Elephas maximus indicus: one gene and its partners. Each later gene encodes a partner of the first gene's protein in a complex. Links are inferred from orthologs where the notes say so. Each region holds a gene or a part of one and is shown in the gene's direction. Other genes may lie near its edges.

The links.
Region 2: NOD2 (region 1) and AKAP13 share a complex: the UniProt entries of both Homo sapiens proteins name them as parts of the signaling complex. The link is inferred for Elephas maximus indicus from reciprocal best matches to the Homo sapiens genes NOD2 and AKAP13.
Region 3: NOD2 (region 1) and MAP2K3 share a complex: the UniProt entries of both Homo sapiens proteins name them as parts of the signaling complex. The link is inferred for Elephas maximus indicus from reciprocal best matches to the Homo sapiens genes NOD2 and MAP2K3.
Region 4: NOD2 (region 1) and PKN1 share a complex: the UniProt entries of both Homo sapiens proteins name them as parts of the signaling complex. The link is inferred for Elephas maximus indicus from reciprocal best matches to the Homo sapiens genes NOD2 and PKN1.

The regions. Positions count from the first base shown.
Region 1 is NC_064839.1:17,194,090-17,201,260, forward strand, and holds the start of NOD2 (nucleotide-binding oligomerization domain-containing protein 2), read left to right. Parts: upstream 1-4,166; 5' UTR 4,167-4,245; intron 4,246-7,171. UniProt on the Homo sapiens protein: Pattern recognition receptor (PRR) that detects bacterial peptidoglycan fragments and other danger signals and plays an important role in gastrointestinal immunity.
Region 2 is NC_064831.1:80,886,837-80,894,789, reverse strand, and holds the start of AKAP13 (A-kinase anchor protein 13), read left to right. Parts: upstream 1-4,949; 5' UTR 4,950-5,184; intron 5,185-7,953. UniProt on the Homo sapiens protein: Scaffold protein that plays an important role in assembling signaling complexes downstream of several types of G protein-coupled receptors.
Region 3 is NC_064820.1:216,261,533-216,269,083, reverse strand, and holds the start of MAP2K3 (dual specificity mitogen-activated protein kinase kinase 3), read left to right. Parts: upstream 1-4,540; 5' UTR 4,541-4,713; coding exon 4,714-4,762; intron 4,763-7,551. UniProt on the Homo sapiens protein: Dual specificity kinase. Is activated by cytokines and environmental stress in vivo. Catalyzes the concomitant phosphorylation of a threonine and a tyrosine residue in the MAP kinase p38.
Region 4 is NC_064821.1:33,038,732-33,045,809, forward strand, and holds the start of PKN1 (serine/threonine-protein kinase N1), read left to right. Parts: upstream 1-4,072; 5' UTR 4,073-4,874; coding exon 4,875-4,913; intron 4,914-5,919; coding exon 5,920-6,223; intron 6,224-7,078. UniProt on the Homo sapiens protein: PKC-related serine/threonine-protein kinase involved in various processes such as regulation of the intermediate filaments of the actin cytoskeleton, cell migration, tumor cell invasion and transcription regulation.

The DNA.
Region 1 (7,171 bases):
GCAAGTAGAAGCACAGAGGTAGGGATACCAAGAGCCGTAAGGAAGCTGGTGTGGCTGAGAGTGGGTAGTGGGAAGATCATCCCCAAATTCACTCATTTGGGCCTGGTTGTACAGGAGTTTGGACTCTGGTGGGTGGGGAGGGGCCTGTTCTGGGCTGCCTGGAACAGGAGACCGGCAGAGAGACAGTCACCTAGTGCAAGCCTGGGGTCACCTTCTGGGTTGGCAGCAGCTGGCTCTGGGCCTGGGTCTGCTGGAAACAGTCCTGGCTCCTGGGGGCAGCTCTCGTGCACAGGTAGCCGGCAAACCTGCTCCTCTGCCAACCTTCCCCCCACCCCGCCCCGGAGAGTTTTAAATGTCACAACCTAGAAGATTTCCCTAGAAGAGGAAAGGCCCAGGCCCGGAGGCTTTGTCCCCCCGGTACCCAGGACAGAGAACCTGTGGGCAGAAAAGTCACTAGGATCCCAATTGCCATCTCTAGGATAGGGCTCTGCAGCCAGGGAGATGCTCCTTAGCTCATTGAAGAGAAAGCTTTCTGAAGATTATTATTTTGCAAGTAACACATGCTTGGAGGCGCTGGGTGGCACAAACAGTTAAGTGCTCAACTAGCAGAAATGTCGGCAGTTTGAACCCACCCAGAGTTGCCTTGGAAGACAGGCCAGGTGAACTGCTTCCAAAAGGTCACAGCCTTGAAAACCCTATGGAGCAGTTCTACTCTGCACAAATGGGGTCGCTGTGAGCCAGCATTGACTCAATAGCAACTAACAACAACAACAATAACGGTGTATGCCTATACACAGGTTAAGCATAAAATACAGGTTAACAACAACAATAAAAAGCTAAAAAATCCACTTACAACCCAACCATGAATTTGAAAGGATAATCTTTTGGATTTTTCAATGCATATATTAATAGGTTTATGTTACAGATAACATAATAGGAGCATACTACACGAAACACTTTACAACCCACTTTTTTTTTTTTTAATAATTTTTATTGAGCTTTAAGTGAACGTTTACAAACCAAGTCAGTTTGTCACATATAAGCTTATATACACCTTACTCCATACTCCCACTTACGAGATCTCCCCCTAATGAGTCAGCCCTTCCAGTCTCTCCTTTCGTGACAATTTTTCCAGTTTCTAACCCTCTCTACCCTCCTATCTCCCCTCCAGACAGGAGATGCCAACACAGTCTCAAGTGTCCACCTGATACAAGTAGCTCACTCTTCATCAGCATCTCTCTCCCACCCGCTGACCAGTCCCTTCCATGTCTGATGAGTTGTCTTCGGGAATGGTTCCTGTCCTGTGCCAACAGAAGGTCTGGGGACCTTGGCTGCCGGGATTCCTCCAGTCTCAGTCAGACCATTAAGTCTGGTCTTTTTATGAGAATTTGGGGTCTGCATCCCACTGATCTCCTGCTCCTTCAGGGGTTCTCTGTTGTGCTCCCTGTCAGGGCAGTCATCGGTTGTGGCCGGGCACCATCTAGTTCTTCTGGTCTCAGGATGATGTAAGTCTCTGGTTCATGTGGCCGTTTCTGTCTCTTGGGCTCATGGTTATCTTGTGACCTTGGTGTTTTTCATTCTCCTTTGATCCTGGTGGACAACCCACTTTTTTTATGGAGCTAGAATTCATATGCCATAAAGTTCACCTTTTCAAAGCGTACGATTCAGTGGTTTTTAGTGGATCCACAAGGTTGTGAAACCATCACCATTAACTACCTGCAGAATATTTTCATCACATGAAAAAGAAGCCCTGTACCCATTAGCTGTCACCCCCTACTCTCACTACCCTCATCTTCTGGCAACCACTAATCTATTTTCTGTCTCTATGGATTTGCCTAACCTGGACATTTAATATAAGTGGAAACATAGAATATGTGGCCTTATGTGTCTGGTATCTTTTACTCAGTGTAAGAAAAAAAAAATTTTTTTTTTCTTTTAATGTTTTCAAGGTTCATCCATGTTGTAGTGTGTATCAGTACTTCATTCCTTTTTTATGGCTGAATAGTATTCCACTGTATGGATATACCACCTTTTGTTTATCCATTCATCAGTTGATGGAGATTTGAGTTGTTTCCAACTTTCTGATATTAAGTATAATTCTGCTATGAACATTCCTGTACAAGTTTTTGAGTGAACATGTATTTAATTCCCTTGAGTATACACTTAGGAGTGAATCTCTCAGTTGTACGGGAACTCTGTATTCGACTTTTTGAGGAATTGCTAAACTGTTTTGTACAGCAGCTGTACCATTTTACATTCCCACCAGCAACACAGAAGGGTTTCAATTTCTCCACATCCTCGCCAACACTTGCTATTACCTGCCTTTTTGATTATAGTCATCTTAGTGGGGCAAGTAGTATTTCGTTGTGGTTTTGATTTACTTTTCCCTAATGGTTGTCTTGGAAGAAGTACAGCCAGAATGCTCCTCAGAAGCAAGGGTGGAGAGACTTCGTCTCACATACTTTGGACATGTTATCAGTACGGACCATCCCCTGGAGAAGGACATCATGCTTGGTAAAGTAGAGGGTCAGCGAAAAAGAGGAAGGCCCTCAACCAGATGGATTGACACAGTGGCTGCAACAATGGGCTCAAGCATAACAACGATTGTGAGGATGGCACAGGACCGGGCAGTGCTTCGTTTGGTTGTATGTAGGGTCGCTATGAGTTGGAACCGACTAGACAGTGCCTAAAACAACAACTATGTATTCATATAATACATAAATACTTGTACTAAAGCCTGGCACCTAGTAAACACTCTGTAAAATTAGTTGTCTCCATTATATTTCTTTAAATCGACTTCACATTTTTTACAAATCCAAATGCATGTTTTTTTTAATTGTGCTTTAAATGAAAGTTTACAGTTCAAGTTAGTTTCTCATACAAAATTTATACATACATTGTTATGTGACCCTAGTTGCTCTCCCTGTAATGTGCCATCATACTCCTCTTTCCCACCCTGTATTTCCCGTGTCTATTCAGTCAGCTCCTGTCCATTTCTGCTTTCTCATCTCGCCTCCAGACAGGAACTGCCCACTTAGTCTCATGTAAGTATTTGAGCTAAGAAGCATGCACTTCACAGATATCATTTTATGTCTTATAGTCCAGTCTAATCTTTGTCTGAAGAGTTGGCTTCTGGAGTGATTTTAGTTTGGGGCTATCAGAAAGTCCTGGGGCCATGTCTTCTGGGGTCCCTCCAGTCTCAATCAGACCATTAAGTCTGTTCTTTTTACTAGAACTTGAGTTCTGCATCCACTTTTCTCTTGCTCCGTCAGGGACTCTCTGTTGTGTTCCCTGTCAGGATGGTCACGGGTGGTAGCCGGGCAAATGCACGTGTTTTTAAAGGAACTTTTATATTAATACCTTAAGTGGAAAACCAGGTCACTTGCTCTGAGAAACAGTTAATGAAAACAAATCCGCGGTATCAAATTCTAGTCAGATATTGTGGCCAGTGGAGGAGACTAGACAGTGTTAGACAAGGAGCACTAAACGGAGATGTCTCTCCTGGACTTAAACAGAAAGATGGAAAGAAAAATGAAAAAAGAGGAACTTCACCGTCACATGACTCCTTTCTATGTCATGCCTGGCTCAGGGTCACCTAACATGTAACCCATCACACTCCGGAAACGCTGTTCAGGGAACTGAGCTTTGCAATTTTAAGGCTTTAGATGGCTGTGGACTTACTGACTCTTCTTTCTTTTGGACTTACTGACTGCCTGAAGGTGCACTGATTAATACTGACACCAACAGCTTTTCATTTCACAGGATACCACCGTGTGTGTGTGTGTGTGTGTGTGTGTGTGTGTGAGAGACAGAGAGAGGCAGTGTGTGTGGGCGAGTGTGTGTGACTATGTGTTTGTAAGAGTGTGTAAGCGAGTGTGTGGGACAGTGTGTTTCTGTGTGGGGGGAGAGTGTGTGTGTGACTGCATTTGTGAGACTGTGTATGTGTGTGGGTGCGCGCGCGTTGGAGGGGTGTTCCAAGACTCCCTCGTCCGTCTCCTAGTTCAAATGTGACGGAAGAGAGATACACGCTGGCCGGCTCTCCCAGCCGGTGTCAGTCACCCAGCCTAGGTGAGCTCCTGCCGGCGGGGAGGCGGGCACTCCCAGGGGGTGCGGCCCGCTCGGGCCGAGGAGGGCGGAGTGGGGAGCGCAGGGGCGGAGCCGGGCGCCCGCGCAGCCTGAGCCCGAACCGAAGCCGGAATCGTGGCCCAGGCCGGGGTCGAGGAACCGGGCACCGGCGGCTTTGCGGTGAGTGCTGGCTCAGGGCGCGCTACCTGCGCACCTGCGCCCAACACCTGGGCGGCGGGGAGACGGTGGGCGCCGAGGATCCCGCCTCCCGAGTCTGACACCTGGCTCCAGAGCCGTCCCAGCCTTTGGGTTTGTAGAGGGGCTGCCTCGGTTTCCCCTTGGTGAGCTCTGAGGAGTAGATGGGGGGCGGAAGGAAAGGAGGCGTCTCCAGGGCGGGGAGCCCCCAGGCGGTCTGCGGCTACAGAGGACGTCCGAGAGCCCCCAGGAACCTTTGAGATTAGGGGACCAGCTGACTTGGGGAGTCGCGTGGTTGGTGGGCGGGAGGATGTGAAGGCCAGAGGCACAGGGCCCCGCTTGGGTATGGGAATCAGAAACAGCTTCAGGTCTCAGTGGGGGCCACTCTTTGCCCAGTCCTTTCCTCTTTCTGGGCCTCAGTTTCCCCAACTTTACCAAGCCTGTGAGTGTTTGTGAGTCTGCCTAGCTGCTCCCTAACACCTCCTTGGGCTCTTTAGTTCTCGTAAGAGTCCCTGCGTCCTCTGCCCCACCCCCTTCCGTGGGTGTGAGACCCCAGTTCATCCCCCACCCCTGCCCAGACAGGCCCACTCCAGGCTTGTCCAGAGCCCTCCCCTCTGCCATATGCCCTCCCCTCTGCCGCTGTGTTGGTGGAGCAGCCATCCGGTCCTACCAGCTTTCCCACAAACTAAAAAAGCCTCCCCAGCTCCCCTGGGGAGGGTCTCCCTTAGCTGGAGGAGGGCTGGCAGCTGGACCCCTGGCTCTGAGTCTGCCCTTGCCTCTCTTGCTGTCTCCCAGCCCTGTGACATCTCCCTGCCCAAAGCTTCTGTCTCCCCATGGGCTGTGGCCTAGCCTCCTCCAAGGTCCTTGTTGCACAGAGGGCAAAAGCCTTCCCCAGCACCGCTACTGTACCCCTAACTTGGCCCTTGGTGAAAGAGACTGGAGAGGCACTCCCACGACCCTTCTCCTATCACTCTGCTGGTTTGCTGGTCACTCAAGGCCCCTTTGCCTCTTGGTGTATTGGGATCTGAGGCAGAAAGGACCTTAGCTCACTGTGGCCTCCAGCCCCGCCCACCAAGTGCAGAATCCCAGCTGAGTGCTGGCCCAGCCTCTGTGGCACATGCCGGTGGCGGGGAGCTCCCTACTTACAAGGTGCCTTTTCTGAGTCCTGCGGCTCTCCTGACATTTAGCCAAAATCTGCAGGGTGCGGCTTCCACCTGGGTCCCACCTGTGCCTCCTGGAACCTTGCAAAGTAAAGTCACCCATTCATTCAAAAAATCCTTATTGATGCACTGAATGAGACATGGGGGATATAGCAATGAAGCACACAGACAAAACTCCCCGTTCCTCGCGGAGTTCACATTCCAGGAGTGTGTCAGGCAACGATCAAATAAGTCCATACATAGTGTGTCAGGTGGTGAGAAGTCCTACGGAGAAAACAAAGCAGGAAAGAGGGTCAGGAGGTGCTGGGCTTGGATATTGCAGTTTTAGATAGCGTAGTTGGGGAAGGCCTCTTCAAGACAGTGGCCACTGAGCAAAGCCTTGGAGAAGGTGAGGGGTGAGCTCTGTGGATCTCTGGGGGGAGGGAGGGCATGTGCAAAGGCCCTGAGGCAGAAGCATGATGGGAGGGAGCAAGCCTGGCTTGTTCTAGAAATAAGGAGGCCAGTGTGTGTGGCTGGCTGGAGCAGAGTGGGGGAGGGGGATTAGTAGGAAATAAGTTCAAGAGGGTTGGGAGAGGGGGCGTCCAATGTGTAAGGCTGGAAGGTCACTGTAAGGGTGTTGCTTTGTACCCTGAATATGACGGAGGCCACTGGAGCAGGGAGGCAGCTGCTCTAACTTAGGGTTTAGCTGGTTTACCTGGCTGTGGGGGGGAGGATAGACCAGGGCGGTGAGGGCAGAGGGGAAGACCAGCGAGGCGACCCCAGCTGCTATTCAGAGGCGAGGCCATGGAGCTTAGGGTGCAGCATAGCAGTGGTGAGAAATTACCAGATTTTCAGATTTGGGATCTCTTTTGACATTAGGGTTAATAGGATATGGGGTGTGAGAGAAAGGGTGCAGTCAAGGAAGATGCCGAGGTTTTTGGCTTGAAGTACCTGGAAGTTTGGAGCTGCCATCAACAGATGGGGAAGCTGGTGGCAGGAGCTCTTTAGAGGGAGATCAGGAATCTGGTTTGTATTTTTAGAATTTGAGATACTGATTAGACATCTATCTGAAGATGTCTAGCAGGCAGTCGGGAAATAAAATTTGGGGCATCATTACTATATAAACCCCAACCACTTGCTGTTGAGTAGACTGACTCATGGTGACCCTGTGTGTGTCCGAGTAGAACTGTGCTCCACAGGGTTTTCAGTGACTGTTTGGAAGGCCACCAGGCCTTTCTTCTGAGGCACATCTCAGTTGACTCAAACCACCAATCTTCCTGTTTACAGACAAGCACTTAATTGTTTGCACTACCCAGGAACTCATATCACCATATAAACCAAACCTGTTGCCGTCAAGTTGATTCCGACTCACAGCGACTCTATACGAATGAGCAGAACTGCCCCATAGGGTTTCCAAAGCTGGCTGGTGGATTCGAACTGCAGCCGAGTGCTTACCCACTGCACCACCAGGCCCATCATCATGAAAACCCAACCAAACCCATTGCCATCGAGTGAATTCCAACTCATAGTGATCCTATAGGACAGAGTAGAACTGCCCCGTAGGGTTCCCAAGGAGCAGCTGGTGGATTCAAACTGTTGACCTTTTGGTTAGCAGCCAAGCTCTTAACCACTGCACCATCAGGGCTCCCATCACCATGTAGCTGATATTTAAAGCTATAAGATCAGGTGAGCTCACTTAGAGAGACAGTGATACCTGGAGAAGAGATTACAAATTCACAACTCTCCCGGACTTTAGCATCCAGCTAAGGAGA
Region 2 (7,953 bases), on another chromosome or scaffold:
ATGGCAACAGGTTTGGTTTTTTTTGGTTTAAGCCTGTATTACTTGTCAAAGGGGAGAACAGTGTCAACTTGTTAGCAACAGATTTTTTTTGAGGGTTGGTATGAGGAATAAATGAGGTCATGCAAGTGACAGAGGTAGAGTACAGGGATTACAGCCCTGGGTACATGTTGAGGTTTGGAACGAATCCCCAGAATCTACTAACCAGACCCGACCTTTCCGGTACAGTAGCCACCAGTCACAGGTGACTTTTGAGCACTTGAAATGCAGCTAGTTTGATTCGAGATGTGTCGTAAGTATAAAATATACATTGAGTTATTTTGAAGACAGTATGATAAAAAGAGTATAAAATGTCTCACTAATAAAGGCTTACACTGATTACATGTTGAAATTATAATATTTGGGATAGAAAATATTATTAAAATTAATTTCACCTGTCTCCTCTTACTTTTTAAATGTGGCTACTAGAAAATTTTAAATTATGTGGCTCACATCATATTTCTATTGGACAGCGTTGGGCTTGACATTGAGAGAAGAAGGTTCCCTTTGCTACCCAAGAAGTGAAAACTTAATCTACACTGTGAAACTTTCCGCTTGTAGTCAGGATTCTCTCAGAGACTCCCTCGTACCTTGCCTCTAGGCCCCACTCTCTTGCCTCACTTCAGTGCCCCCTAAGCACATGGTAGGAGTCCCTGGGTGGTACAAACAGTTAAGTAATTGGCTACTAACTGAAAGGTTGGTGGTTTGAATCTACACAGAGGTACCTTGGAAGAAAGGCCTGGTGATCTGATTTTGAAAGTTCACAGTCCTTGAAAACCTCATGGAGTACAATTCTACTCCGAAACACATGGAGTCGCCATGAGTTGACATTGACTCCACAGCAAACTACAGCAACAGGTTTGGTTTTGGTGAAGCATACGGTGAGAGTGTGATCTTCGTAAGATGAAAATCTGTTCTCATTGTTGTCCCATTGCTTAAAACCTTTTGAGGGCTCCCCCTGGCCTCTCAGAATAAAGGCTGTACTACTCAGCAGGGCAGTATGCTATGCCCTTCATGACCTGGTAGCTGCTACCCTCCCCCAGTGTTACCTCCTACCCCTTCCCCTCTCCAATTTCTTCTGCTGAGTTTCTGATACCTCCATGTCTTTAAATTTGCTCTTCCTGTTTCTGGGAATGTGCTACTTGTGCAAACACTCCCAAGTCCCCTCTACTATCCCACTCTCCTTTACTTGGTTTAATGTGATTGTCTGCTAAGACTCAGCTTAGCTGTTACATCCTCCAGGATGCCTTCCCTGACCTTTTACCTTCTTTCTAGGCAAAAGTGCTCCTCCTCTATGCTCCCAGCACTCTGTGCTTGCGTCTTTAAGAGCATTAACACATTTGATTTCTTGCTGGTTTACTTGTCTATTTCCCTCACTTGACTGTGAGCTCATTGAGGGCAGAACCTTGTTCTTCATCTTCAACCCCGGGACCAAGCCTCACGCCTGGCACACAGTACACTTTCAAGGGCTATTTGCTGAATGACTTGAGAAGCAGGTAAGGGAATTAACCAGGGATCATCAGCTCATGGATGGCATATTAATTAGGGCTCTTGTGGATGTAAGTGACTGTAACATCTACTCTGCCTGGTTTTATTGCCTTACATAGTTGAAAAGTCTATGTATTGTTTTATCTTTAGGTATGGCTAGATTTAGCAGTTCAACCATTGTCACCAAGATGTTTTTTTTTTTCATCTCTCTCACCTTCCCACTGTGATGGCTCCATTCCCAGAGAGGTTATTTCCTCAAAATGACAAGCTGGCTGACAAGCATATCCTCCCAGGTTCCACTGAAGAAGACAAAGTCTGCTACCTTAATAGTTTAAACAGAGAATACAATTTATTCCTATTGCTCCTGATTGGCCTGTTTGGGGTCACGTGCCCACCTCTGAAGTAGAAGTGGCCTACAGGTAGAATGCTCTGATGTACTCCGATCTGATCACGTGCTAAGGCCATGGAATTGGGGCTGTAGTGAAGTTTGCCTAATACCAAGCAGGGGCTGAAGGTAAAAGTTCCCACAAAGCAACATCAGGGTACTAGTTCTACCACAAAAGCAATAAAATGTTGTTTGTTCTCAGTGCCTTTTCTTTCATAAAAGTGGACATGTTATAAAACATGGGTCCAAAGAAAATGCATGTTCTCATAACTGTTGTTTTTTTTTTTTTTGTACACTGGCATTTTTAGGTACTCTGTAAAATGGGGTGTAACCCTGTTACATTTTTAAGTATTATAAACCAGGCAGATCAATTAGATATAAGTCAACTAGAGAGACAGTTCAGAGACAAAAAATCTTGCCATGCTTCTTAGGCCCTGGTATCTTTCCTGGCTTATAAGCTTACTCATGGAAAGTGGTAGAATTGTTTACTCATGGAAAATGATAAATCTGAAATCTTTCTGGTGAAATGGAGCTGTTTAGAGATCCTTGGTGCAACTTGGAAGAACAAATCTTTAGTGTCAGGAACATTCAGTTTGAGGACACCTCACAGTAGCTCTTTCTGTACTAATTCATTCATGCAAAACTTTCATTGAGTTCCTACTGCTGTAGGTACGAGAGAGAGAGAACCAAAAAAAAAAAAAAACCCATTGCCGTCAAGTTGATTCCGACTCATAGCGACCCTATAGAGAGAGAGGATAAAAAACAGACTTTAGGGAGCTTACGTTATACTTACATTATAGTGGAGCCCAGGCCAGCAAATAAACACACAAGATAAATAAGATACTTTCATATTGGGATAAATGCTATGAAAAAATTGGGCAAAATAAAGAGAGGAATTAGGTATGAATGGGCTACTTTTTTTTCTTCTTTTTATTGTGATGAAAATATACGTAGCCAAATATATACCAATGTAACAATTTCTACAAGTATAATTCGGTGACATTGATTACATTCCTCAAGTTGTATAACCAATCTCACTACCCTTTTCCAAATTATTTTACCACCATTAATGAAAACTTACTGCCTCCCAAGCAAAAATTCCCTCTTGCCCCCTCCCTCCCATCCCTGGGAACCACTAATAGTTTTTGGTTTCTATATATGCTTCCATGAGAGAAAGATGTAGCAGTCTGCTTCTGTAAAGATTTATAGCTTTGGAAACCCTATGTAGCAGTTCTACCCTGTCCTTTAGGGACACTGTGAATTGGAATTCCATGGCAACTTTTTTTTTGGTTATTTAATATAAGTGAGATTATACAGTATTTGTCCTTTTGTGACTGACTTATTTTGCTCAGCATAATGTTTTCCAGGGTTACCCATACTGTGGCATGTATCTGAACTTCATTGAGTGGGTTCTTTTTTACAGGGTGGTCAAGGAAGGTTTCTCTGAGGAAGACCTTTAAGCTGAGGCCTGAATGATGAGAAAGTTCCAGTCATGCAAATAACTATTCAGACTTCCCGCCAAAAGACAGAGAGCTCAGTGGTCTGGGGAATTTAGAGTAGACTCTTGCTTCTCAAAGTGAGGTCGCATACCAGCAACATCAGTACCCCTGTGAGCTTGTTAGAAAAGCAGAATCCCAGAGCCCACCTCAGACCTACGGAGTCAGAATTCACATTTACCAAAATCTCCCAGGTGTTCCATAGGCATAGTAAACTTTGAAAAGTGTCGGCCTCTCAACCCTTTCTGTAGCCCACTGGAAAGGTGTAAATCCTGCTGGGGTGGGGTAAGGAAACAGGGAATGGTGTCAGCAGTCACAAGAAAGACGACATGGTAACCATCTGCTGCTGCCACCTCCGAATCAGACCAGCCAGGCTCTAAGAGAAGGCTTTGAGATTATTAAAAGTTAGGGTCCAAGTGATTTTCTAGGATAGCCCCTTACTTTTTAGGAGACTAGGACACTGGGGATGTTTGGCCTTGTTTTTACCACTATGTGATCGTGAACCAAGAAAATATATTGACTGGAAGGAAATGGTTTGGTTTTGGGCCACTTGACCAAGAAACGTATGCTGCTGAATTAATTCCGACTCACAGCGACCCTATATGACGGAGTAGAATTGCCCCATAGGGTTTCCTAGGCTGTAATCTTTATAGGAGCAAATCGCCAGGTCTTTTTTTCCCCAAGAACGGAGCCGCTGCAGGGTTCAAACCGCCAACCTTTTGGCTAGCAGCCGTGCCCTTAACGATTGCACCACTAGGGCTCCTACCTAAGAAATAATAACAGTGAAATAATGGTTCGACGTGCTCGGCATATCCCCCCGCCCCCCAAAGCACATCAAAATAAACACATACCTATCAAAATAAAGAAGTTTCTTCGCGTACCAACTTATTGTCTCCTAGACTACCACTGGTACACCGATTGTAGCTTTTCAAAAGCACCAGATGATTTCTGCGGTCCTTTCAAACTTGAAGACTGTATGAATTTGTGGGATGGAGTTGCCAAAAGTTCACTGTCACAGTTGTGACACCATCACACCGCCGTCCGTCCCTCCGTCCGTCCATCCATCCATCCATCCAGACAAGCCTGGCTGCACACCTAGCCATGACTCTCCTGAGCGCTGGACACAGAAGACTAAACCGCACTTCCTGATTTCAAGGGCGGGGGGAGGTTGAAGGGTAAATCATTTCGGTTTGTGTGCTAAGCGCTACAGCTCAGGTAAGCATCGGGCGCACAGAGGAAGGGCGGTTTCCGGAGACAGGGCGGGGAGCTTTTTCAGAGATGTGGTGCGTGGGCATTTCCCAGGCAGCCTCTGCCAGCCTCACTACTTTGATGACTTTGCCGCCGCGGCTCAGCAGCGGCAGTCAACCTCAGCTTGCCTTAGCAACCTGAGCGCACCGCCCAGGCGCCTTCCTATTGGTCGCACGGACTATGATGGGCACCTCTGCCGTGTAATCCCAGTTGAGGCCTTCGGTTCCGCGCTCCCCGGCGGCCCAGGAGGGCTTGTAGGCGGTGCCGTCCTCCCCAGGTCTCCGCCCATTCCGGGCGGCTTGTAGCGCATGCGCCGGCGGTCAGGGGCTGTGTGCGGGGCCAGCTCAGAGCCGGAGGAGCCGCGGTGAAGCGTCTGGGCGCCGCCGGGACCGCCGTGCTCGTTTCTCGCCTCGGCTGCCGCCGCCTCAGCCGCCGCCGCCGCCGGGGGAGCAGCCACCTATTGTCTTTCTCCGCGGCGAAGGTGCGGAGCTGCTCCGGCTCGGCCCTCGGGGGAGCCCCGGGCGCCGCACGGTGAGAGCGCAACTGAGTTGGCCGAGTTGAGGGAACTTTCGTGATTTGAGGAGTGGTCCCGGCGAGGAGCGAGGGCCCCTCCCCTGCGGCTTGGCTCGGGGCGGGGGCCGGGAGGGGGGCGGGGGCCGGGGGCGGAGGGCTGGGCCGGCTGGAGGGATGAATGGGCGGTGCGGGCAGCGGCCCGGCCCCGCCGACCCCTCCTCCCTGCGCAGCCCCTCTCCTCCCGCATTGTCTGCTCCCGGGCCGAGGCGCGCCTCCTCACCCCGCGGCCCCGCTTTGGGGCCCAGTACGGTCGCCGATGCCTCTCGGGCGCCCCTGGGCCCCGCCGCGAGGCCTGAGCCTCGAGCCCCCGGGCGTTCCGGGCCGGCGCCGCCGGGGCAGGGAGCGCGAGGAGCCCCGGCACCCATGCGGTCGCTCGGTGGATCGCGCCGGTCCGACGGAGGCCGGGCTACCCCGGGGTCGCCAGCGACGCCGCGAACAAGTGCTCCCGGCGGGAGGGGAGCGGCTCCCCGGGGCGCACGGAGAGTAAACACGTCGGGCCGCGCTCGCGCCCTGCGCTGCGCCCGCCTGGGGGTGTGGGGGGGCCCTCGGGGCGCTCGGCCCGACCCGCGCGCGTCGGTGACGGCAGCGGCCGGGGAGCGTGCGACGGGCTCGCCTTTCCTCCAGGCTAGAGCACAGCCCTACTTTGAGCCCGAAGAAAACATTTTTATTATGTAAATATGGCTCGCTGACACTTTTTGTTTTGCAAAGCCTTCCAGTTGGTGAGGAGTTGAAAAATACTAAGAAAACAGTTTTTTTATTAAATAAAAAAATAGTTTTTTTTCTTTTAATTATTTAAACAGATCAGTTCCACTGCATTTAAGTTTCTAGACCTTACTGTGAACTCAGGAATTCACCATGAAAGTTAGATTGAGTAATATTTTGGTGTTCATTTTTAGCTTTTATACTCCTTACTGTGCGAGTTTATTGCCTTAGGCATTTATAACTAAAGTTAAAAGCTGTATGCTTCCCCCTCCTCCCTTATTTTTAGAAGCAGCAGCTTATTCAGTTTTTCTAAACTGTTGGATTGCCCAGATCAGAACAAATGCTGCAGTTCTTGAAAGGTCATTTTTTGCAAGTTTGTAAAGGCGTAATGATCGGCTGAGATAAATCACTGTTCTTGCACTCCGTGGTCTCTTGGGGATTTGCAGATCGCATTAAGTACAAGCCTTGATGTCTAGTTTTGGGTACATGGACTCCACCGAATTTTTCTCATTTGGCTTATACAAATAATTATGTTTTAATGCCCTAGATGGAATTAGCTTAAATGCCTGTGAAATTCGCAGTGGAAGTGTCTCAATTTCAGTTGTTGTATCGTCTCTTGAGCATCTGATAAGTTAAAAAGACAATTTGAGAAATACCGTGTATGTTAGTTTGCCTTGATTTCTCATGATAAGTGGGCAGTGTGGAGAAGTGTTCTTGGATTTTTCAGGTTTGCTTGGCCTCATTTTGCTTTGAGAAACCAATCTTCTTCATCTGATGAAGCTAAAGAAAAATTATCTTATGGCATTAATACTTTTAAACTACAGCAAAGTCACATTTAGGAGCGACAATTCCTACTCTACGATTGTGTGAGTGTTCGTGTGTGGGGGCGTGGGATCCTGGATTGACAGGTTGGAAGGGGTTGTCAAGGAGGGACTTAATGTAAACAAACACTCCTTCCAGCATAAGATGACAAGTAGGCTGGTTGCTTCCCTCCTCTGGGCTCTGATAGCATGTTATACATACTTTTGCTTTGGGATTTCTCACACTTCGTTTGTTTGACTAAGTGGTAACTGTACATGTAAGTGTAAATGGGCTCCTTGGCTAGTCTGTTAACTCCATAAGGGCTGTGATGGGCCTTATTTAAAAAGCTTTGTATCCTCTTTGCCAGGAGTCCGACAGTACTAGTGTTGAGTATGCCTGTGAACTGGGTGAGGTGCTTTTTTACGAGCTGGCGGTGGTGTGCAGTGTGCTGGAAGTGCACACAGGAGAGAGCCACTAACCCCCGGGGACTTGTCCAAAGTGGTAGTTCACTTGTGATGAAGTTTAGTTTACATTAAAAGGACTTCTAAACTTTTTTTTTTTTATCTGCTGATTGTCTCTTGGCAAGAAGTGGGGTTTAAATAATGCACTGTGGATTTCAAAAGGTGATCCCGATTTAGAATTTTTTTCCCTCTTCTTGGTGAAATTATTAAGACCACTGAACACATCCGTTCACATCACTGCCCAATTCTCCAATGCGAAATTGGAGGTAGAACAATTTATAAGAAAGCACATTCTTTGGAGCTAGGTAGATTTGAATTCAAATCCCCACACTTCCATTGACTCGTTGAGTGTCACCTTGAGTATGTCACTTCTCAGAGCTTCAGTTTCCTGCTCTGTAAGGATAGTAACATACTTTGCAGTGTTCTTAGGAATAAGTGAAACTATGTGAGGTACTTAGTACAGTATCCAGCATTTAGTAGGTGCCGAGACCTTGGGTGGAGCAAACTGCTTGGCTGCTAGCCAGAAGGCACCTTGGGAGAAAGGCCTGGTGATCTGATTCCGAAAGATCACAGCCATAAAAACCCTGTGCAGCACAGCTCTGTAACACATGGTGTTGCCCTGAGTTGGAATTCACTCCATGGCAATAAGTGTGTATGTATTACTTGGATAGGGTCATTATGAGTTGGAAACAACTTGATGGCGGTGGGTTTTTGGTTTGGTAGTTGTAATAATTTTGATACATTTTTACATGACTTAAAAGCA
Region 3 (7,551 bases), on another chromosome or scaffold:
TAATTGCCTCTAATGCTGCTTCATTAACATCATAGAGGTAGGATTTACAACACATAGGAAAGTCATATCAGATAACAAAATGGTGGATAATCACACAATACTGGGAATCATGGCCTATGCAAGTCGATGCACATTTTTGGGGGACATTTTTTAATTCAATCCATAACATCCACCTTGTGTCCCCTCCCCAAGAGCAAGGAGCTGTGTCTGTCTTGTTCAATACTGTGCCCTCCCTGCCAGGTACACAGTAAATTCTCTATAACGAGTTGTTGAATGAGTGAACGAACTACCCAATCCTGGATGTCTTAGTCATCTAGTGCTGCTGTCACAGAAATACCACAAGTGGATGGCTTTAACAAAGAGATATTTATTCTCTCACAGCCTAGTAGCTACAAGTCCAAATTCAGGGTGCCAGCTCCAGGGGAAAGTTTTCTCTCTCTTTTGAGTCTGGAGAAAAGTCCGTGTCATCAATCTTCCCTTGGTCTAGGAGCTTCTCCACGTGGGAACCTCAGGTCCAAAGGACAGGCTCTGCTCCTAGCACTGCTTTCTTGGTGGTATGTGGTCCCTCTGTCCCTCTGCTTGCCTCTGTCTCTTATATCTCAAAAGAGATTGGCTTAAAACACTATCTAATCTTGTAGATATCATCAATATAACTGCCGCTAATCCATCATAGTGATAGGATTTGCAACATATAGGAAAATTTCATCAAACGACAAAATGGTGGACAATCACACAATACTGGGAATCATGGCCTAACAAAGTTGACAGATATTTTTGAGGGACACAATTCAATCCATGACGGTGGGTCTGAACCATTCTTTCTCCTTCCTTGATTCCCAGGTCCTGCCTACCTCAGCTCACACCCCATCCCATTCTGAGCTTCAGTGTCCCTGTCTCGCCAGAGAGGAGTACTTAGAACTTTTCTTTTGGGAGTCAGGGTAAGAGGCTTGTGGTGGTGGCCCATGTCAAATGTCCCTTCTGGTTCTAAGGGGTCATGAGGTGCCCCAGCCTGACTGGACCATGAAGAGGCAGAGGAGGTCCACAGATATTGCTACAACCAGCCAGCAAGAGAATAAGAAGGTCTGTGGTTTCTGCAGTGGGGTGCCTCCCCCTCCACCCAACTCAGATTTGCATGCCAGTCTGGCCCTCACCATGTTTTGGCCCCACGTGTAGCCCAGTCATACCCCTAGCCTTTGCCTCTACTGCTCCTCCCAGCCTTGCTTTCTTGCTTCTCTGCCTGGTGAACTCCTGTTTGGCCATTAAGAGTTCAGTCTTAAAGTCACCTCCTCTGAGAAGCCCTCTCTGACCTCACTCCAGGTAGAGTTCTGGCACCTTCCTTGGCCTCATGCTCATGTGTCTATTTATAGCATCCCACATCAGGTTTTGTGATTCTTAGGCTGTTTGTCAGGCTCCCTGACTAATCCATAAACTCCTTGGGTGCCCGGGAGGCCTGCATTGGACTGGAGTCACTCCATGGATGGCTGTGGTATTCTTTCCTTTCTTGCTTTGCTCATTTCTCAAATACTTATGAGGCACCCACTATGTGCCACCCTGGGCTATGGCTCAGGAATGCAGCAGGGAGTGGGGTGGGCAACATTTTTGCTCAGGAGAGGCGGATGCTGTAAGGGAGTGAGCCAGATTAAAAAACAGTGAAGAAGACTGGCATTGGCAGGGTGGGTGCTGGGCAGAGAACAAACAATGATGTCAGGCCATGACTGGGGAGGCTGCTGGGGAGAACTGAGGGAATCATGGGGGAAAGATGCACCAGGCAGAGGGGACAGCAAGCAAAGGCCCTGAGCCAGAATCTGTATTGGTATGTTCTTGAGGTGAAATGACTAGCTCAAGTGGCCCATTTGAAATAGAATGCTCCAGGCCTCTTTCTTCCCTGAGCACCCAGAGTGGAACAGCCTGGATGGCTTCCTGTAGGAGGTGGCTCACAGTGTGTCCTTGAGCTTACCTTTCCTGGGCAGTTAGTGTGTGCCAGGCCCTGTGCCAGACACTTTCAAGCATGACTTCAGGGAGATCTTACTGTCCCTGTGGGACAGGTAAGTAAGCTGAGGTGTGGAGCTGTTCAGTGACTTGTCCAACATCTGGAGTTGGGAATTGAACCTGTGCCTGAGTCCAAAGATCAAAATTTTCCATCCCATTGCCTGGAAAGCGTATGTTATGGGTTAAATCGTGTCCCCCCAGAATGTCTGTCGATTTGCTAGCCATGATTCCTAGTATTGTGTGGCTGTCCACCATTTTGTGATCTGATGTAATGTGTTGTAAATCCTACCTCTGTGATATTAATGAGGCAGGATTAGAGGCAGTTATGTTAATGAGGCAGGCCTCAATTGAAGGTTGTATCTTGAGTTGATCTCTTTTGAGATATAAAAGAAAAGTGAGCAAAGAAGAGAGGGACCTCCTGCCACCAAGAAAGAAGCGATGGAGCAGAACATGTCCTTTGGACCTGGGGTCCTTGGGCTGAGAATCTCCTAGACCAGGGAAGAGTGATGACAAGGACCTTCCCCCAGAACCCGCGGAGAGAGAAAGTCTTCCCCGGGAGCCTGGGCCTTGAATTCAGGCTTCTATCCCCCTAGACTTTGAGAGAACAAAATTCTGTTTGTTAAAACCGTCCATTTGAGGTATTTTTGTTATAGCATCAGTAGATAACTAAGACAGTGAGCCAGAGATGCAGGAAGAGAATAATGATAATTATAAGGCTGCTTCACATCCTTCCTTATCTCATCTGGCCCTCCCCACTGGTGTGGGTGGGGCCCTGTGGGGTCGCCTCTGTTTTACAGAAGGGCAAGCAGAGGTCAGCCCCCTGCTCCAAGTGTTTTCAGCAGACCTGTCTGCTGGAGTCACAGGAGACCCCCATCAGGCAAGCCCACACCCATGCCTGCCCAGGGCAATGACTGACTCCTTTAACTTCTGCAGGGCCTTCCTGCCTCTCTAGCCTGTGGCTTTTCATTCTGGGCACTGGATGCCAGTGCCAGCTTGGTTGGTGGGGCCTGAAATCCCCTGAGGCTCCAAGTGGGAGCAGAAGGGAGAAGATCCAACCAGCCATTATAGATGAGCAGATAGGGCCCCAAGAGGGGAGGGGAGAGGACCAGGCCAAAGTGCAAGCCTGGATAAGAGCTTGGTCACGGCCTACTGAACTGAGTAACCCAAACCAAAAAACCAAACCCATTGCTTTCGAGTAGATTCCTGCTCATACCGACCCTACAGAACAGAGTAGAACTGCCCCATTAGGTTTCCAAGGCTGTAAATCTTTACGGAAGCAGACTGCCACATCTTTCTCCTGTGGAGGGGTTGGTGGCTTTGAACCAATGACCTTTCAGTTAGCAGCTAAGAACTTTGACCACTGGACCACCGGGGCCCCTGAACTGAGTAAAATGAATTGAGAGGTGCCACTCGACTCCCTTATACTCAGTTTCCCCATGTGTAGAACGGGAGAGGGGTCGGGTAGTAACGACAGCAACCGTTAAAGCTACTTTCCTTGCCTCTTAGCCAGCGCGGTGTCGCTCCCCCCGCACCCCTACACCCCACGTTGATACCGGCTGGAGGAGAGTGCATGTGTGTGGACGCGTGCAGCCCTTCCTATTCACTAAACAAATGCGTCCTGAGCGCCTGCGGACGCCTGTTCCGTCCTCGCGAGCAAAGCTCCGTGGCACGGGCTGCTGTCGCACTGTTTTACAGAGAGAGAAACGGAGGCTCAGGGTTATCGCCTGAGTCACCCCAGGTAATCCCCGCTGGAAAGGTGCAGTCAGGACGTAAAACAGGTTTCATCGGGGCGCGCTTTAGCCTCTCCACAACACCCTGTCTGCCGCCGCGCTGGGCCCCGGCCGGGTTGGCCGGCCGCGCTCCGAGATCTCAGGGTTTTCCCAGACAACACACCCCAGGTCGCGCCCCTGCACCTGGCGCGCTTGGGTAGGCTGGGGAGGGGGCGCTGCACGCGGGCTGACAGGTTCCCGGGAGGTGGGCGGGGCTTGGCTCTTGACAGGGAGCGGGAGGGTCCCGGCTCTGGACCCAGTAAAGCAGAGCCTGGCTGGGGCCTAGTTTCCCGGGCGGAGGGCGGGCTTGAAAGGCAGTGGGCGGGGCCTGATTCCGGGTGAACGGAGGTCTAGGCCTCTTGCTTGATAGACGGGGCGGGGCCTGGCGTCTGACGGGTCCCGAGACGCGCCTTGGAAACTGGTGGCCAATCAGCGCGCCAGGCAGGGCCTAATGCCGAACAGCCTGAGGCCGGGGCTCGGAGGTTCCCGGCGGGAAGTGAGCGGTGCTTGGTTCTTGACAAGCAACGGCAGGGGCCCGGCTTTAGAAAGAAGGGGGCGGAGCCTGGCTCGGCCCCGTTTCCCGGGTGGTGGGCGGGCTTGACAGGCAGTGGGCGGGGTCTGCAGCTGAACAAATGGGGGGGCGAGGTCTTGTGCTTGACGGGCAGGGGCGAACCTGGAGTCTGATAGGCTGCGGAGCGCGGCCTGGAGACGGAGGGCCAAACGGCGCGTGGGGCGGGGCCTGCGTCTCGGCGCCGTCTAGCTCGGCCCCTGAGGCTCTGCCCAGTCTGGCTACGGCGCCGCCCGCCGCGGTCGCGTCCTCCCACCGCCGCCCGTTTGCCCCGTCGCGCCCGGGCCGCCTGCCCGCCCGCCCGCAGCCATGAGTCCGTGCGGCCCCGACCGAGCCCGCCACCCCCTCGAGTAGGCCTCATCGCCGCGCCGCCGGCCCGCCTGCACCATGGAGTCGCCCGCCTCGAGCCAGCCCCCCAGCGCGCCCCAGTCCAAAGGTAGGAGCCAGCCGGGACCCGCGGTCGGATTCCCGCCCCCAGGCCGGGCCCGGGCCTGCCTGCAACCCTGGCCTCCTTGGGGGCCCACCCATCCGGAACTCGACAGCGCCTCAGGTTCTCAAGTCTGTCCAGTCCCGGATCCGACGCTGGGCTGGACCTCTTCTGACCCCCAGTGTGGACCTTGGGGCTGCACGCAGGCCTGGGAGCTCCCGGGGCTGACAGAGGCTGGGACCGCACTCTGACCCCCTCTCCTGTCGGGAATCGGGAACTCTCTCTGACCCGCAGAGTGGGCCTTAGGGCTGCATCCTGACCAGGGGACTCCCAGGCCGGGGTCCTTAGCGGGACCCAGGTGGGCCGCACTCTGCTCCCACCTGATCCCTTGGCTGTGTCCAGGTTGGTATTTAACTTTGATCCCTCCATCTGGACCTCAGTGAGTTCCCCTGCTGGGACCTTGCTGCATCCCCACCCCAGGCGGGTACGCTGGCTACACCTCAGCTCAGAACGGCCCCTTCACTGGCTGGCTCTGTCCCTGTGGGCCCCCACATTGCCCCATCCTCGCTGGCTGCACCGGGCTTCTCCCCAGATGCTTCTGCACCCTGCCCTACACCCCCCACCCTGCAACGCTGGTTCCGGAACCACTCTAGGTTCCTCGTTAATCTGTGGCCACTCTGAGGCCCCCACCCCCTCTGACGTTCGGCCCTTCCTCTCCTTGCTCCTATTGTACCCTCATGTGCCCGGCTCCACACTGGACCCATGGCTTCACTGCCAGGCACCAGGCTGGTTGCTGCCAGGCCTGTTTCGCCTGGCGGCCCGTGGGTCCTGGGCCAGCTGCCAGACCAGGGTGCTTACCTCGAAAGGGGCTTGCTCTGTCTTTTCCAAGTCGCAGGCCTTCCTGGAAATTTTTGTGAGGTGGCGGCCAGGCGGGATTTGTCATGCAGAGGGGGGAGGACGGGCCTGGAGGGCAAAAAGGGGATTTTTTTGCAGGAAGAGGAAAGGATGTTTTGGTGTGTCAGAATCTCAGCAGACTGGGCCGTGTGAGAGATTTCCAAACCGGACATAGTTGTGATGAATGGGCCACCTCCCCCAGCAGGCCTTTTAGTGCCTCTGGGCCTCAGTCAAAACCAGGGTAATCACACCTTCCTTCCACAGACGTGGCAGGGGGCACGGGTGCTGTGATGAGAGGTGATATATACATATGACAGTGCGTGTAAAGAGGTGGAAAATGTTGTGAAGAGCTCAGTGCAGTGCCCAGCACATAGTAGGTGCTCAGGAAGGGACAGGGCTGTGCGTATTTCTATTGTTGCAGTTTTTATTTTTAGAAAGGCCTCAGCCATGCAGGGTCAAGGACGTACCTCTGTTTGAATTGCAACTGTGGGGTGAAGCAGGTCACAGGAGCAGTTAGTGGTATCCTAATCAGTGCTGGAGGGGCCCGGGCTGTGGGAGGCTGTGTGGGGTCCGGGGGCGGGTGTGGCCCTGCCTGGCCCTGCTGCTGGTGGCTTCCATGGCTGTGGGCCAGAGCCCAGCTGGGTGGGCAGAGTAATTATGTCTTACATAAGTGGGAGGCTGGATCCCTGACCATTGCCCAACTGCGGTGAGTAACTTGGGAGGCACTCACTGGGGGAGGTGGCAGGGGAGGGGCACGCTCTGCACAGACCTCATGGAGCTTGGGAGCCGGTCAGCAGGACACTCCCCACTCAGGAGCGTGGTCTGGGCTGGCTTTGTCATGGCACACTGAGTTTTGCTAGCCTGTGCGCTCCTGGGTTGGAGGAACTTATCGGAAGCAATGTGTGTTTGGAGGCACTTTCAGCTATTCAAGGCAGGGGTGCCTCATCAAAATAGAAGTTAGAATTACAGGGCTGTGAAGGGAGAGGGGGCATGGGTGATGGGCAAAGGCCGGTGGGGAGGGACCCTGCTGGGTAACTTGAGGCTGACGCTGCCCTCTCTGGGCCTCTGCAGGGAGGCTAGGGTGTTGGTCTATCTGTGGATACAGGGAACAGGCGATGTGGGAGGGTTGGGCAGAAGGTCAGGGGCCTCCCCCATCAGCCTTTTTGGGGTTGGCACAGGATGTTGTGCCCCTTCTCTTTTCCATGTGCCATGCACCCTCTCATTTATGCTTCTCAGCCTGCGACCTCATTTTACAGATAAGGACACTGAGGTTTGGAGGCATTAAGTGCCTTGCCTGAGGTCCCCAAGCCAGGATGGTTGGAGCCAGGATTCTAGCCAGGACTGTGTGTCTGCTGTGTGGTCTCCCCCATTTGCCCCCACACCCCATTCTCATGCTGGATGCTTGAGCCCTGTGTCAGGGGGCATCTCCTCCTGGCCAGTCCCAGACGTGGAGCACAGAGTGAGGCAGAGGCCTTGCCTTTGCATGCATGCACAGCCCTTTACAGTTGGCACATGGCACACTCACTGCAGTCTGACTCATTTGACAGATGACACAACTGAGGCCAGACGTAGGAGATGCTGGACTGAATCCACAAGGTTGGGGTCCTGACCCAGTACCCTTCACATCCTGGGCACAGGGCCCCTAGCACTGAGCTCTTCTCAGTTTTCTCAGAAGAGCTGGAACAGAACAGGGAGGGGTTGGCATTTGACCTTGAAAGAGCTTTACCTTTGAGCTTCCGTTTCACCCTCCCTGTACTGAGATTCTCTCGGCGCCCTGCTGGTGGAGGGTTTTCCATGAATGCAGAAGGTCCCCCGACCTCCTTGCCCACATATTGCTGTCTTTCTGGCTGGTGGCTCTCGGGACAGTGTGCAGGGGCACGTTTCATAGCACGGCCTGGTTTGCT
Region 4 (7,078 bases), on another chromosome or scaffold:
TCTGTATTTCAGCAGGTCCCGGGAGGACGCCGACCGCATGCAGGACCCACCGCCAGGGAGTGCTCCTGGCCCGAAGCCTGGAGCCCAGAGCCCGGATCCTGGGGACCTTGGAGAAATTCCCCTGAGGTCTCGGCTCTCCCCAAGGGTAGAGCCCGTATTTATGGAGCGCCACCTGCATATGGGGTTCCTTGCAGACCCCATCAATCTTCACAGCCGGCCCCCAAGAAGAGGTTTGTCCACATTTTACAGGGAGAAACTAAGGCCCAGCGGCCACAGGGTCGACAGGGCCTAGAGTCAGCAGCTGAGTTGAGATTCGAACCCCTTCTAATAATATTAAAAATGACAGCAGCTAACATTTATTGAGTGCTTACTGTGTTCTCAGCACTTGACATGCACTATCTCTTTATTTTACCAAATCCCAGAAGTGGGTAAACCCTTTCCATGCCTCAGATGTGGCGCCTTAGGGGTGTGGGTCGTCCTTGAGCCTTAGGGATTTGAACCCAGATCTGTCCAGAACCGTGATTGTCTTCGGGCAGTGGGGAAGCTCCCGTGCCCTTGAATGGCAGACTCTTCAGCAGAATGGGTCCAGGAGGCCTGAGTTTGCAAACGGAGGGGTTAGGTTAGTTGTTATTGTTATTTTTTGGGTTTCGAGGGGATCCCCGGAGGCCCAAAGGGCCCTCCCGGCTGGAAGCGGCTCGCCCTTTGCTTCAGGCAGGGTGAGGAAGTTCCCGCGCGCTTCAGCGCGGGACCCGGCGGCAGGGCCAGCGTGGGAGGGACGGTCAGGGGGGCGCAGACGCTGGACCCCACAGCCCCAGGGGCCGCCGGGAGCCGCGCCCCCTCGCCCCGCCCCCTCCCCGGGCGCCGACCTCGGCGGTCACGTGACGCGGCCGGCCGCTGGGCCCGAGGGCGCGGCGCGCGGACGCGGCGGCCTGGCCGGGCAGGCCGGAGCCGAGCAGGCCGGAGCGGGCCGCGCGCCCAGGGTCGCGCCGCGCAGCCCCTCCGAGCCCCGCCCGGGCGCACGCGCGCTCCTCCGCCGGCCCCTCCCTCCGCGGGGACCCCTGGCGGGCGGCGCGAGGACATGGCCAGCGACGCCGTGCAGGTAGGCGCACCTGCGTCGGCAGCGGTGGGGCGGCCGGACGGCGCCAGGACCCCCGCCCGCGGCTGCCGGGGCCCCCAAAGTGGTACGGCAGGGCGGGGCCTCCGAGCGCCCGGTGCCCCTTCCCTGGGCCGGGACCCCGGAGCCAGCGCGGCCCCCTTCTCTGCAGGTGGAGGTACGGACTGGGAGGGTTAGGGAGGACCAGGAGCCCCGCTGCACCCCAAGCTCGGCCCGGCCCCGAGGACCCGAGCGGGCGCGGTGGAGGCGCGACTTCGGGTGGTTGGTTGGCTGTGCGTCCCGGTACCTGTCGGCCCCCATCTTCCCCCTCCGCAGCGATCAGTTCCCGGGAGATGCAGCTCTCCACCTGGGGCAGGTGGCTGGCGCGATGCCCGGGGAGGGAGGACACCGCCCGGCCCCTCCCCCTCCCCCGCACAACAAAGCTCCAGCGGCCCTGCCTCCGGACTGAGATTTACGATGGTCCCGACGCCACCCAGATTGGCACCTGTTGGCAGAAATGCCCGAGTCACCTAATTAGGTCGGGGGGACGGGGGACCCTCAAGCCTAATCTCCGGGGTACCGGCTGCGGGGTGGGACCTTACCCAGGTGGGCTGTGTCGGGTCAACAGGGAGTGCTCCAGGATTTGGGATTCTACCTGCCGTCCGTTGGCATCAGGGCAGGTTCACCCTGTATACACATACACACACTCATGACTGGCACCAAGCTGCCAGCCAGGGTCTCCCCTGGCCTCCCTGTGCCACCTTGAGGATATCACTGCCTTGGACTCACCTTCCACCTCTGGGACAAGTAGGGCCAGGTTGATCTCCGACTTTCTTTGGCTCAGTGATCCAAGTCTGAGACATGTCCTGTGCCTAGAGGCCCCTTTAGCATCTCACCATGCAGTCGGTTGTCCTGTGGTCTCTGTGTAACAGGTTTTCATCTCCTTTTGCACCTGCCCCATTCCCTCTGTGTCTCCCCATGATCCCCTATGATACCCCCCCCCCCAGTCCTGCTGATGGCCTGCCAGCCTTGCCGAGGAGCTGGGCGTATCTGGTGTTGCCGATCACACAAGGTCAGACCTTGGGGTGGGGTGGGCCGAGGTCCCTGCCTCCACCCCCGGCCCAGGAGGGCTGTATAGGAGCCCCCCTCCCCCGCGCGTGCATGCGCTTGACATGTACCACACATGACCCAGATGAAGGCTGTGATTCCTGCCACGAGGCTCCACCTGTGCCTGGCTCCCCCGCTTTCTGCCCCCGCCCCCCACAATTCCATTCTTGTGGCTGCCTGGGCTGCTGCCCTGTCCCTCTGTCTTCCCCGATGTGTGCCTGTCTATTCTGTGTCCGGCAAACGGATGTCCTGTGCAGATTCCGGAAACTCCCAAGGCATTGAAATCTCCAGACAAGGGGGTCTAGGTCCCAGACTGCTCTGGGGAGAGGGGGTTCTGGGAAGTGGGTGCCCTCGGCTTGGAGCCTCCTGCTTCAGGGTGAGGGGGAGCAGGGATTCTTTGAGGCCAGGTCAGGCCCCTGTGTCCTGGGTTTGCCTTCTTGGCCCTCAGGTGACCCCTCGTCCCTGGGTAGGAGTGAGTCACCCCAGAGAGGAGGGCCCAGGAGGCTGGGCCTCCTGCCCTCCCTCCCTATTCTCAGGGCTCAGTGGCCAGAGGTGGGCCCAGAGCAGCACTCCTCCTCTCTGCCTGGACTTCCCCAATTTAAGCTGGCCTCGCTCCTGGCTGTACCCCTGCTCTGCCTGCTGGGGAGGGTGTGGGGCTGGCCTGGTTGGGAGGGGGTATGTGAGTGCTGTCACTTCCTGTGTGCCCTGGCCACAGTGCCTTTGCCTTTCTGAACCTCCATCCTCCGTTCTGTCATTATAAAAATGGGCTAAAAAAGGTGTTTGCAGAGGAGAGAGACAGATACGGGGCCACTCATGGCAGATGGGGCTGCTGTCAGATAGCTACTGAGGAGCAGTGATGGTCTGGGGTTGAGTCTCTGTCATTTAACCCAGGCTTTCTCAGTCTCGGCCCTCTTAATGCTTGGGGCTGGATCGTTCTTTGCTGTGGGGGACTGTCTTGGGCGTTATAGGATATTGAACAGCATCCCTGGCCTCAAGCCACTGGATGCCAGTAGTGTACCCCTTGGTTGTAACAACCAGAAACATCTCTGGACATTGCCAGGTGTCCCTGGTGGTGGGGTGAAGTTGCCCCTGCTTGAGAACTGCTCTTACCTCTCTAAGCCTGTTTCCTCACCTGTAAAGTGGGAGGATGATAGCAGCTACTCAGGGTTATTGCGAGGGGTGGTCTTGGCCTGCAGCAAACCCTCTCTTGGGAGCAGCTGGCCTTGAGTTTGAGCAGCAGCTAGTGATGACTTTCCTCATCTGTGAAATGGGTTCTCAGAGTGGAGGGAGATAACACAGGTGCAGCACTTAGCCAGTGCTCAGATACTGGATGTTCCTTTTAAAATCCTGGCCTGCCTCCTGCTGGCTGAGGGACCTTGGGGCAAGTTACGGCACCCTCTGGGCCTAATTCCTCATCTAGATGATGTGGTGAAAATAGTGCCTACCTCGAGGAGTTGCATTAGTTGACCTGGGTGGAGCTTCTAGTAACTACTATGGTTAATAGTTGTATCTGAGCATTAGTGCGTGGTTAGCAAGTGTCTGTGGGCTGCTGGTTTTGTTCCTTATCCTAACCCCTCGGTGCTGTCCCCCACAATGTGTTGGTCTCAGGGAGACGCACTGGGCTGGCTGGGTCCCCAGACCTCAGAGCTGTGGTCAGCAGCAATGGGCAGCTGGACTGGGAGGAAGCAGGAAGTTAGACAGCCTATGCCTGCAGGAAGGGGCCCCGCCTCTGCAGAAATTGCTGTACCAACCCCAAAGGGGAAGTCGGGGACAGGGGGCGGGACAGGGGGGCCTGGCCAGAGGGACACGTGGAGCCGTCAGCAGGGCTGCAGGCCCTTGGGAGTGTGGGCAGGTTGTGGGGCTGTGGGGAGCATGTGTACATGTGTGAGGGTGTAGGCTTGTCCACACGGGCAGATGAAAGTGTGTATGTCCAGGTTCTGCAGTGACTCCTGTACACACTCATAGGTGTGTGCATGCAGGTGTAAATGTGAGTAGGTGTGAGAATGTGCACACACTTGTGAAACCTGTGTTCCATGAACACACTCACAGGTGTGGGAGAGTGCACACGTGTGAGCCTGTGTTCTATGTGCACACAGCCATAGGCGTGGGAGTGTGCACACACTTGTGAGTCTGTGCTGTGTGCACAGACATGTAGATATGTACATGTGCACTCAGCCTGTGTTCCTTCTGTACACCCATAGGCACTGGAGTATGCACACGTGTGAGCCTGTGTTCTGTGTGCACATCCATAGGCATGGGAGTGTGCACACATGCGTGGAGCTTGTGTTCTACGTGTACACCCATAGGCATGGGAGTGTGCCTGTGTTTTTGAGCACACCTGTAGGTATATGAGAGCATGTACACATCCAAGTCAGTCCCTGGAGCCTGCATACACTTGTGGAAGCCTGTTTGCCATGTACACAGTGAAGTGCACACCCGTGTACCTTGGGCACCTTCACAGGACAGGGAGTGAGCACAGTCCCCTGGTTGCCTCTGGGAAGCAGGCTTGACCCTGGAGTGGGGCTAAGGGGAAGCTCCCCTGGATGCCCCAGAGCCCCAGAGCTGGCCGGCCGCGGGGGGTGCTGGGAGGTGGCAGGAAAGAGGAAGTGGTGGTGAGAGGCCCTGGCAGGGCTGAGGCTCAGGAAGAGGGCGGGGCCCTCACCCTGGACCCAGGATGGCGGAGCCCTGTCCCCCTTTGGACCAGGAGCTGGAGGTGGGGGCCGGGTACCTGTGGTGGGCTGGTGGTAGAGGACCCCAAATGGGACAGGCTAGGGTGTGTGAGAGATGGCGCCCTTGCCCTCCACACCTCTTACTTTTAGACCAAGGAAAGGAGATGGGGCCCTGGCCTCAGAGCTCTCAGTTTGAAGGAAGGAAATATTTACGGCCCTTTGGGGCTCCCAGGTTTGTGGGGTAGAGGAGGAAGGAGGCGGGGCCTCTGCTCCGGAACTCCTAGTTTGGAGGGCAGCGGAGGGGCAGTGGTCTACCTTTGAGACCTCCTGTGTAGGGAAATGGGAGGGAAGACCGAGCCTCACCTCAGGACCTCCTGGTTTGGAGGAGACAGCAGAGGGTAGGCAGGGTCTTCCCTTGAGACCTCCTAGTTTGGGAGGACAGCAGAGAAAATTGGGGCTTACCTTCGAGACCTCCTAGTTTGTGGGAACAGCAGAGAGGAGATGGAGTCTGTAATCAGGACTTCCTAGTTTAGGGGGAGGACAGATGAGAGATGGGAGCTACCTTCACGGCCTCCTACTTTATGGGGGATAGCAGTAGGGCCACAAGACCTGTCCTAGGGATTTTCTGATTTGGGGTGGAACAGTAGAAAGGAGATGGGGTCACTTATTGGGACTTCCTACTTTGGGGGACAGCAGAGGGGAAATAGTGCCTACTTTCGAGACCCCCTAGTTTGGGGGGACAGTAGTGGGGCAGTGGGGTCTGCTTCCCAGAATCCCACCGCATGAGGAATAGATAAAGAGAGACAAGATTGTCCCTTGGGGACCCCTAGTCTGTAGGGATGGGGGAAGGGAGCAGGCCCTGCCCTGGGCCCTCACAGTTTGAGGGAGTTGAAAGCAGGGACAGGGCCCTGCTCTCACCTCCCAGTTTTGGGGCTCTGAGGAGGTAGAGCAGGCTCTGTCTTTGGGGGTACCTAAGGAGGCTGGGCCCAGGTTGGCTAAGGTGGTCTGCATCCCAGAGCCATCCCCCACTGACCCTGTTGCATCCTGCAGAGTGAGTCGCGCAACTGGTCCCTGCTGGAACAGCTGGGCCTGGCAGGGGCGGACCTGGCAGCCCCTGGGGTGCAGCAGCAGCTGGAGCTAGAGCGTGAGCGGCTGCGGCGAGAGATCCGCAAGGAGCTGAAGCTGAAGGAGGGTGCGGAGAACCTGAGGCGGGCCACCACTGACCTAGGTCGCAACCTGGGCCCCGTGGAGCTGCTGCTGCGTGGCTCCTCGCGCCGCCTCGACCTGCTGCACCAGCAGCTGCAGGAGCTGCACGCCCACGTGGTGCTGCCCGACCCTGCGACTGCTGCCCGTGGTGAGCCGGGGCTGGGGATGCAGGACTCCAGGGGCTCCCACTACCCAGGTGTGCCCCCACTGCCCTCGCAGCCAGGCCTGCACGAGAGGTTCAATACCATCTCCACTGGCCTCAGAGAGACAGACTCTGTCACAGCAACTCTGAGTCTCCAAACACAGTCATAGCAAAGAGCGAAGTCCACATAGCCACCTGACACCCAAAGACTCACATCGACAACCAGACGTACATGCTGTCAACACCCGGTCTCACACAGTCATTCCAACAACCAGACGGCACCCAGAGATGTACCTGCTGTCACACCAACACCCTGACACTCATGCACTTAGTCACACCAACACCTGGATGACACCCCAAAGGCTTTATACTGTCACGTGAATACACAGAGACTTTCACGCACGGTCACACCAGCCTCCAGAGATTCACACACATGGCCTCACCAACACCAGCCAGCACCCAAAAACTTATCCACTGTCACATGAACACTCAGAGACTCCTGCATCCTGCCACACCAACACCTGGACAACACCCGAAAACTCTCACACACGTCACGTCAATGTCTGAAGACTCACACACAGTCTCACCAACACCCAGTGACACCCAAAGACTCACACACATCACATCACATCACATCAGTATCTAGAGACACACGCAATCTCACCAACACCCAGACAACACTTGAAAACTCTCACACACGTCACATCAATGTCTAAAGACTCTCACACACAGTCTCACCAACACCCAGTGACACACAAAGACTCACATACATCACATCACGTCACATCAGTATCTAGAGACACACGCAATCTCAGCAACACCTAGACAACACCCAGAAACTTACATTCTGTTGCATAAATA